Kluyveromyces lactis: one gene and its partner. Each later gene encodes a partner of the first gene's protein in a complex. Links are inferred from orthologs where the notes say so. Each region holds a gene or a part of one and is shown in the gene's direction. Other genes may lie near its edges. The genes, in order: SSN2 and SSN8.

Region 1 (4,631 bases):
CCGAACTGGTAGTTTGAGTCCGCACATACGGTTTATATTTTTCCTTTTTAATGAGTGACTGGGGCAGCAACCATTGGAGAATAGACTTATTGTCCGAAGAGCTCTCTGGAATTTCCCCCAAAGATGACCCTTTCTGTTCTTCAACTCCCTCCTCAGATTGGGCATTGTTTTCGCTCCTCACCTGTTGCACATCACTTAAACCTCTCCAATCAAGATATAGTAAAGCAGCCGTCCTTAGAGGCACTATACCATCAAATGCGACATTAGCATACACGGTTCTACACTTGAATCGTTGGAAAACTTCTAACGCCGGATGTTTAGGTAAAAGCTCTAATATGGGTTTAGATTTGATTCTATCATGTGATCCATCATTATTTACAATACCTTTTGATGGCAGAAAATAGCTGCGCTTCAATGTGAGATCCCTTCCAGTCTGTCCCAAAGCGCCAATGTCCAGCACGATAGATATGTATTTGGGCAAATCTCCAATGACTCCGAGGAATGGGCTCGCCGCCGCCACAAAATTGACGGGTGTCAAGCCTGTGGTCTTGTCAAATATGTCTGGTCGTTCGACAGAGATATAGTGAATGGCCATAGCTTGCACGGGTCCTCCCAAAGAGTGACCTACAAATGAGATTCTTGTTAAGGTGAATTGCTGTTGAAGTTTATCGATGGTATCGATTATATATTCTGCCAACTTGAATCCTAGATGCCGTATACCTTTATGAGACTTCCCGACGTTTCCAGGATACCCTCTTATTACAAGATTGCCATTATTATCATCTGGCAAAAAGTTCGACGCTCGTTCAATGGTGTCTTTTAAGCAAAGCATATCTCCGCCAATAGAAGAGAAGATGCCATGTGTAATAATTACGAGATGAACTGGCTTATCTGGAAATGGCGGAGGTAAATTCCACAACTGTTCAGTGTCAAGTTTGGAAATTTTCAACCCATCAGTCTGCTGAACTTCTATATTCTTGTCTTTCTGGGAATGTTTAGCAGTTTTGTATGTTGTAGCTAGCGTGAAGACGAATGGAAGCCTTACAATGGTAACGACAGTGAACTGGGCAATAAGGTCAATCTTCCAAGCATAACAAGAAGTACCGTCAACTCGAGCATTAGAATTGAGATAAAGTTTCGCTTTGAAATTCTCATCAGGCTTGAGGTCACTCATGAACTCAATTCCATCTCCTATGAATTGCTTTCTCTCGTCATAATTGTTCGGCGTTATTTCAACATAAATTGAGTATGGTCCAGTTATCCATAACGGCCTCAAAAGCGCGCTCTCCTGGTTTTTGAATTCGAGATAGAGAGTATCGTCAGTACACTCAATTCCGTCAGATAGTAGCTTATTTTTATCTACAATTATCTTATAGCGATTGACATCCCCGATACCAAGTGACCCTGTTTCCCTTAAAAGCAGAATACCACTATCTGATGACTCAGTGTCGTTCTCTTCAGTCAGTTTTATTGCCATCTTGGCATACGCCAACCACTGTTAGCAGAAGTACAGGTTATACTGCGTTTCCAATTGAGAGTGCGCCGCTAATCACGGGGGGTGCGTTTAGCTTTATGCTTTGGTACCTGTCATTCATTGTTTTGTATTGGCAATCTTTTTTGTTTTTGTTTTATAATGATCAAGCGATTCATTATTATAAGTAGTGATAACTCGAGATAAAATCGTATAATTTTAAAAGAAGGTAACTAGACAGCATCTCTTAACAAGTACGGATTTTTGAAGTACCGTTGCATCCTAATCAGTCTGACTATCCAGCTTACTTTTCATCAGAGCAACGGAAACCATGAAAAAGGAGGTTGGGGACGCATGTCGATTGGAGGACATCGTTACCAATTTATACAGGTTAGAAACTGTCAAACAAATAAACTATCACCAATATGTACCTAGCAAGGCAGATAATCAATGGTCAATTCAAGCAGAGTTGTTCCTAAGGAGGAAAAACCCCAAAGTACTTGCAGCTCTTTTTTCCAGGGAGTTATGGTGTTTTAGTATTAACGATGATCCATTACCAGAGTTAAACCTTGAGCTGAATAACGAATCGGAGTCACCCCAGCCAGAGCGGAAGGGTCACTTCACCCCAGAATTCTCAAAACCTCACTTGCCTACCCCATATGCCATCTTTATGAAGGCTCTCAGGCGTATGATATATGTCAATTTGACCCTATCCTCCAATGAAACCATCGTGCCCTTTGGAAACTCATGCATATTTCAGGAATCATATACCTTTTCGACCAAAATCTTACACTTTGATCCACATCTATTTGAAAATGGAGATTTGACTGTTGCAATTTGTTCCAAGGATTTGGGTTTATCGAAGTTGAATGCAGAGAGCCTCAAACATGAAGTGGCTGTGTATTTGGCTCCATCTGGGATCAGAGTGTATTTACCATCCACAGATTTAAAGAAATGTTATGTATCACCACCCAAAAACGCTCAAATGTTTCTCAAGACACTATTTGTCTCCCATGGAATAAATTTAATCGATGTCGACGGTTTGAAATGGGTAAAGCTTATTCCAAATGCTAACCATTTGAATGGCTTCACTCCAACAATATCACATTATCTTGACGAACCAAAAGGAAATAATTTCGTTATCTGGCCGGCATGTCTCTGTTTTGTACAAACAGCATCTGACGTTCAAACTCCTCAATATACTGCATTTTCAAGATCCCCGCAGCTTGAGTTAGATGATTGTTTCGATATGATAGATGGATTTATACAGTTAAAACTCACTTCGGCCTACAGAACGCCTGGAACATCTGCAGGGATGGGAACTGTAACCGGACATAACCCATTAAGTACGGGAGGAATATTTACTGATCAGTTTCAAGGGTTTAATAAGCATTCGGCCAATAACAGCAATAACGTATCTTCAACGGGAGAGAATGGTAAGTTTTCTCCGGAATACTCTAATGATCCAAACGTAACACCTCTGCGAGATAATAAAACTAGTAGACAGAATTTCCCCACAGAGAGTTACAGCAGTAATGGTTTCATTACAACTCCAATAATAAATGAGAATATCACTCCAACCGTTGATGATATTATAACAGAAACTCCTTCCGTAAAACCTCAGAACGATCTTTGGAATGAGAAAAAGGATGTAATAAATAGTACATCCAATATCAACTCAAAGGACGCATCAGTAGGTAGTTCTGAGCGTAAAGTAGAACTGGAAACCGCTTTTGAATCTCCCGCTCAGAATATTTCGATAGAGGAACACGAGCATGTAGAATTCGACAAAGATCTTTTTGGTGAAGATAGCGACGAAGATGTCAGTACGCGAAATAAGAACGAAGAACTGGTATCTGTAAAAGAGATTACTGACGAAATGTTTGATCTAGCCGAAGATGACGATGAGGCTGACGGATCAACTAGTAACTCGTTAAAGTTTGATCGTCCCGACACCATCGAGTCTATTGATACTGACGAAAAGAAGACAAGAACAAAGCGTACCTATTTGGACATACCAGTGGATGTCATTACTATAGAAAAGACACCTACATTATACGAAGATCCAGGAGCACCTTTGCCTATTGAAACCCCAAAAGACAGAAAGAAAAGTATATTCGCACCACTCAATTTCAACCCCATCTTTGAAAGTAATGTGGATAACAAGTACAAGAATGGAGGTAAGTTTTCTGTTAACTCGAACACCAATGACGAACCAATACAATTTGGGATAAGTACAAGTAATATATCAAGCTCAGAAGATGATGATAGCGATTTTTCTCCTGCTGATTTCAACAATAATGGACCATCTGCAGGAAAGGGCTTATCATATGATCCAAGAGACAATGATATACCAATGATCGAGTCATCAACATACGAACCTATTGCAAAGGACTCTCTTCCCGAATTGATAAACCCACCATCTTCTTCCAAAGATGATTCTGTGGCATCTTATAATACGATCGGAACTCTAATGGAAAAACCTGTTAAGTCCAACTTAGACGCAATATGGAAGCCCGCCTTAAGTAAATCAGAAAGAGCTGATCTACCAAACCAGACAATTAATGGGGTCATAAACGACTGCAATAACAGCTCAAACTCAAATCCCACAACTTACTTTGAGAATACGCCTTCTCTCGGACCGGATACTCTATATGATAATTCAAAACCAAGAAGTTCATCAGCTAACTTTCTTTCCACGGTTGAAATCGACCCCAAAAGCGAACAAACTATTCAAACCGCAGAGCAAGAACAATCTGAATCATCTAGAATTCTCCCCTACCTTTTGAGACACATGCCTTTGTTCTCGTTGCCTGACGTGTTCCTTTGTCAGAATCCATCTTTGCCGCCCGGAAAAGACTTCGAGGATATTCTAGAGATTTTGACAGATCAGATAGTCTTCAATAATGATATGTTTTCTGATGATAGGGCAACAGAATCTCAGTTTAAAGGGATCAAGGATTGCTCCGTTGGCACCATCAGCGATACCATGAACCAGCTTTTTGGGAATTTTTCAAAGCTTCACGGAAACGAAATAATAGAGGAAGTCTTCTATTTGCCTGAACCATCAGTGTTTGTGAAGAAATCTGAAGATACAATTAAAATAAAAAGCTCATCGTGTTATTTCACGGAATATTTAAATCTGAAACCCAACCGTGGG
Region 2 (3,128 bases), on another chromosome or scaffold:
ATGTTTCCCATACGAAACAGAGCCAAAGATCGTGGTTGATTCATGGTCCTTTTGGAATTGGTGCAACATTTATTCAACCATGTTGATTTATGCATTAGAACTTATGGGTAGTAACAAGTAGAAAACCATCTGATGATCAGTTCACGATCAGAAATAAAAAGCCTCTTTTACTCCAGGGCAGAAATAGAAGATAGCTATGTAACATTAGAGGTGAGCAGCTTGAGACAAAGTTAGATATGGATAGGAAGATCACTTTTTGTGCCACGTTATGTAGTTCAGCTGATAGATAGAAATGGTAGGTAGTAGTTCCGTAAATGGAAAGCAAAGAAATACAAGAGATACTTACTCGATGGGAAAACCACACTAACAAGTAGATGATTCTAGTACTACACATGTTTACAACTCATAGCAAATGGTTAGCCGGACTCATACTAGATGGTGCGGTGCTAACAGCGTTCAAGAAAAAATCAAAACAGAGAAGATACATACAGTACTACTCTAGACCGCAGTCAATAACTCTTCTTTATCATCAAGGAAATTTGATCAGTACGTTTGTAAAAAGCAAGTCTCGTCCATGCTATATAAGCTCAGAGCTTGACTCTATGTTGCATTGTTATTTCATCACGTTAAAAATCCTAAAATGAAGAGGGAAAGATGACGGCTGGATCTTTTGAAATTCTTCCTTGTAGCACTTGATATGAGAGGATACTCAACTGAGTATAATCCAAGGCAATAAATGATACAATAATAAATAATCAGGGCAGCTTGGCATATTTGACTATGCGTAAGTATCGAAAAGTTCAAAATAAATTTGAAACGAATCCACTTCAAGCTGTTTGATGATTGAAAAAAGGATGGAGAGTTTCGTGAGCCGAGAAAGTAAGCTCCATTGGGTTACCCAAGCTACCTCCTCCCTAATCACCCCTGTAAACAGAAGTAACAAAAAAAGAGATAAAAACGCTCGGGCAATCGTCATAACTTTCGTTTAAAGTAAAGAAATACTTCAGTACCCAAGACACAGAGGCTTCTAAAACAGCCTCTGGATAGAAACCGTGACAGAAAACCAACACGATTAATGAGTTGATTTAAACATTTGAAAAGTTTTTAAATCTCATTACGTTTCCGCTTACGGACTGGTCGGAGACTTTCTACCCAAAGCTATAGAAATGATATCATTTCAATTGAACAGATAAAATCCGTTCCTTATGTAAGCTTCGATCAGTGACGATTCTTCGACTACAAAACCCTCGACTTACGAAACAAACAACAACAAAAGACAACACTAGAAAACATTTAATTAAAAGTAAGTGTTTGAAGTGCTGATGTTTGGTTCATATAGTTGAATGTTTAACTTTTTTCCAAAAAATTTTCAAAAAGGTTACCCGACTTCTTAACGACCTGAAATTTAGGGCTGCAACGGTCAGCTTATCATAATGTACTTGATGATGAATTGAAGAATAGCGAACGGTAAGGTAGTAAGAACCGAATCGGGTTAGGTACTTTGAACAAAGGATTCCGACAACAAAAGGCAGTACAAATTTCACTGGAGGATAAAAAATACCTTTCCCCCCCTTATTCATTGAACAGCTAGAAGATTATCTTTCCAAAATGAGCGCCTCATACTGGGATTCGAGTCAGAGGCACAAGTGGAAGTATACTAGGGAATCCTTGGCTAAGGAGAAGCAGAAACTCTGGCTGTTGGAATGCCAATTATTCCCACAAGGTTTGAATGTTACGATTCACGATTCGAAGGCGAACAAGCAGGTGACGACAAACATTCCGGTTACACAGCGAGATCTGCATTATGATCGAGACTACAATTTGAGGATATACTGCTATTTCCTTATAATGAAGTTGGGCAGGAGGCTCAATATACGGCAGTGTGCACTTGTTACAGCACATGTTTATTTGAGCCGATTTTTGCTTCGAGCTAGTGTCAGGGAAGTGAACCTGTATCTTTTAATCACCACCTGCATCTATTTGGCTTGCAAAGTGGAAGAATGTCCGCAGCATATAAGAACGCTAGTCAACGAGGCGAGGTCTCTATGGCCAGAGTTTATTCCACCGGATGTGACAAAAGTGACCGAGTTTGAGTTTTATTTAATCGAGGAATTGCAATCATATTTGATTGTACACCATCCGTACCGGTCTCTAGAACAGATCGAGAAGGCATTATCATCCGAAAAGTACAACTATAAACTCTCAGACGATGAGCTTCAGAAAATATGGTCGTTGATTAACGATAGTTATACGACCGATGTCCATTTACTCTATTCACCGCACGTGATCGCCATAAGTTGTCTATTTGCAGTGTCTTGCATCATTCACAAGCCAGAGGACAGTACAAAGCGTGCTAACATCAACATGTTCATCGCTGAAACTCAAGTTAATTTGGAACAAGTGATGTTTATCCTTCAAGAACTCATATCACTATACGACCATTGGGACAAATACAATGAACTGCGGATCAGAGCGCTCCTACACGAGTTATACCTCCGTCAACAAACACCAGCAATTCAGTGATTCTGAAGCCGAAAAGATTTCGTTCAGTTCACACCTGTACATACATAACAAATTACGTAGCATTCAAGATCAACCACGCATCAAGGATATATCGCATAAGAACGAAATGAAATTATATTGGACAACTCACGGAAGAATCACAGAAATGCAGACACTGAGAAATATACACATTGTACGCACAAAAAAAATTTAGTTCGCAATCACAGTCAACTAGAGGACAAGTAGAAGCCTCACTCCAAGAGCTGCATTTGCAACTTCTATTTCTCTTTAACACCAAAAATATCTTTGGCGAAGCGATATCTGCCAAATAATCTAGAGCTATTCATGCGCAGAAAAGAAAAAAAAAAGTGAACGAACGGCAATATGATTTCGAGAGTTAAACATGAAACTCGAAATCAAATCTTAACTAACAATGTTAACGTGTATTTATAAAGAGTAGAAGTAGGAAAAGTGGAAGCACAAGTTCAAAAGAAAGCGAGTCCAAAAGTTTAGTGAAGCAGAAGCAGAGTGTCTGTCATTTCATTATTCTGTGAGGTTCCCGCATTGTATATTAGTTAGGATACCATCTCGGGAATTTTTTTTTGTTTGCCAAGAGTGTTGATATT

Evidence for each region.
Region 2: the proteins of SSN2 (region 1) and SSN8 are in contact, whole or in part, in a cryo-EM structure (PDB 7KPV), measured with the Saccharomyces cerevisiae proteins. The link is inferred for Kluyveromyces lactis from reciprocal best matches to the Saccharomyces cerevisiae genes SSN2 and SSN8. Residues at the interface, in NP_010731.3 of Saccharomyces cerevisiae: His1109, Leu1111, Pro1112, Val1115, Phe1117, Arg1118, Thr1119, Met1120, Lys1208, Phe1210; in NP_014373.3 of Saccharomyces cerevisiae: Lys18, Ala19, Ala22, Leu283, Glu284, Met287, Ile290, Gln291, Ile294, Asp298.

Annotation. Positions count from the first base shown.
Region 1 is NC_006038.1:107,555-112,185, reverse strand, and holds the start of SSN2 (Ssn2p), read left to right. Parts: upstream 1-1,802; coding exon 1,803-4,631. Other genes in the region: KLLA0_B01375g (putative hydrolase), read right to left, coding at 1-1,477. UniProt on the Saccharomyces cerevisiae protein: Component of the SRB8-11 complex. The SRB8-11 complex is a regulatory module of the Mediator complex which is itself involved in regulation of basal and activated RNA polymerase II-dependent transcription.
Region 2 is NC_006041.1:737,206-740,333, reverse strand, and holds SSN8 (cyclin-dependent protein serine/threonine kinase regulator SSN8), read left to right. Parts: upstream 1-1,608; coding exon 1,609-2,523; downstream 2,524-3,128. Other genes in the region: ICE2 (Ice2p), read left to right, coding at 1-121. UniProt on the Saccharomyces cerevisiae protein: Component of the SRB8-11 complex. The SRB8-11 complex is a regulatory module of the Mediator complex which is itself involved in regulation of basal and activated RNA polymerase II-dependent transcription.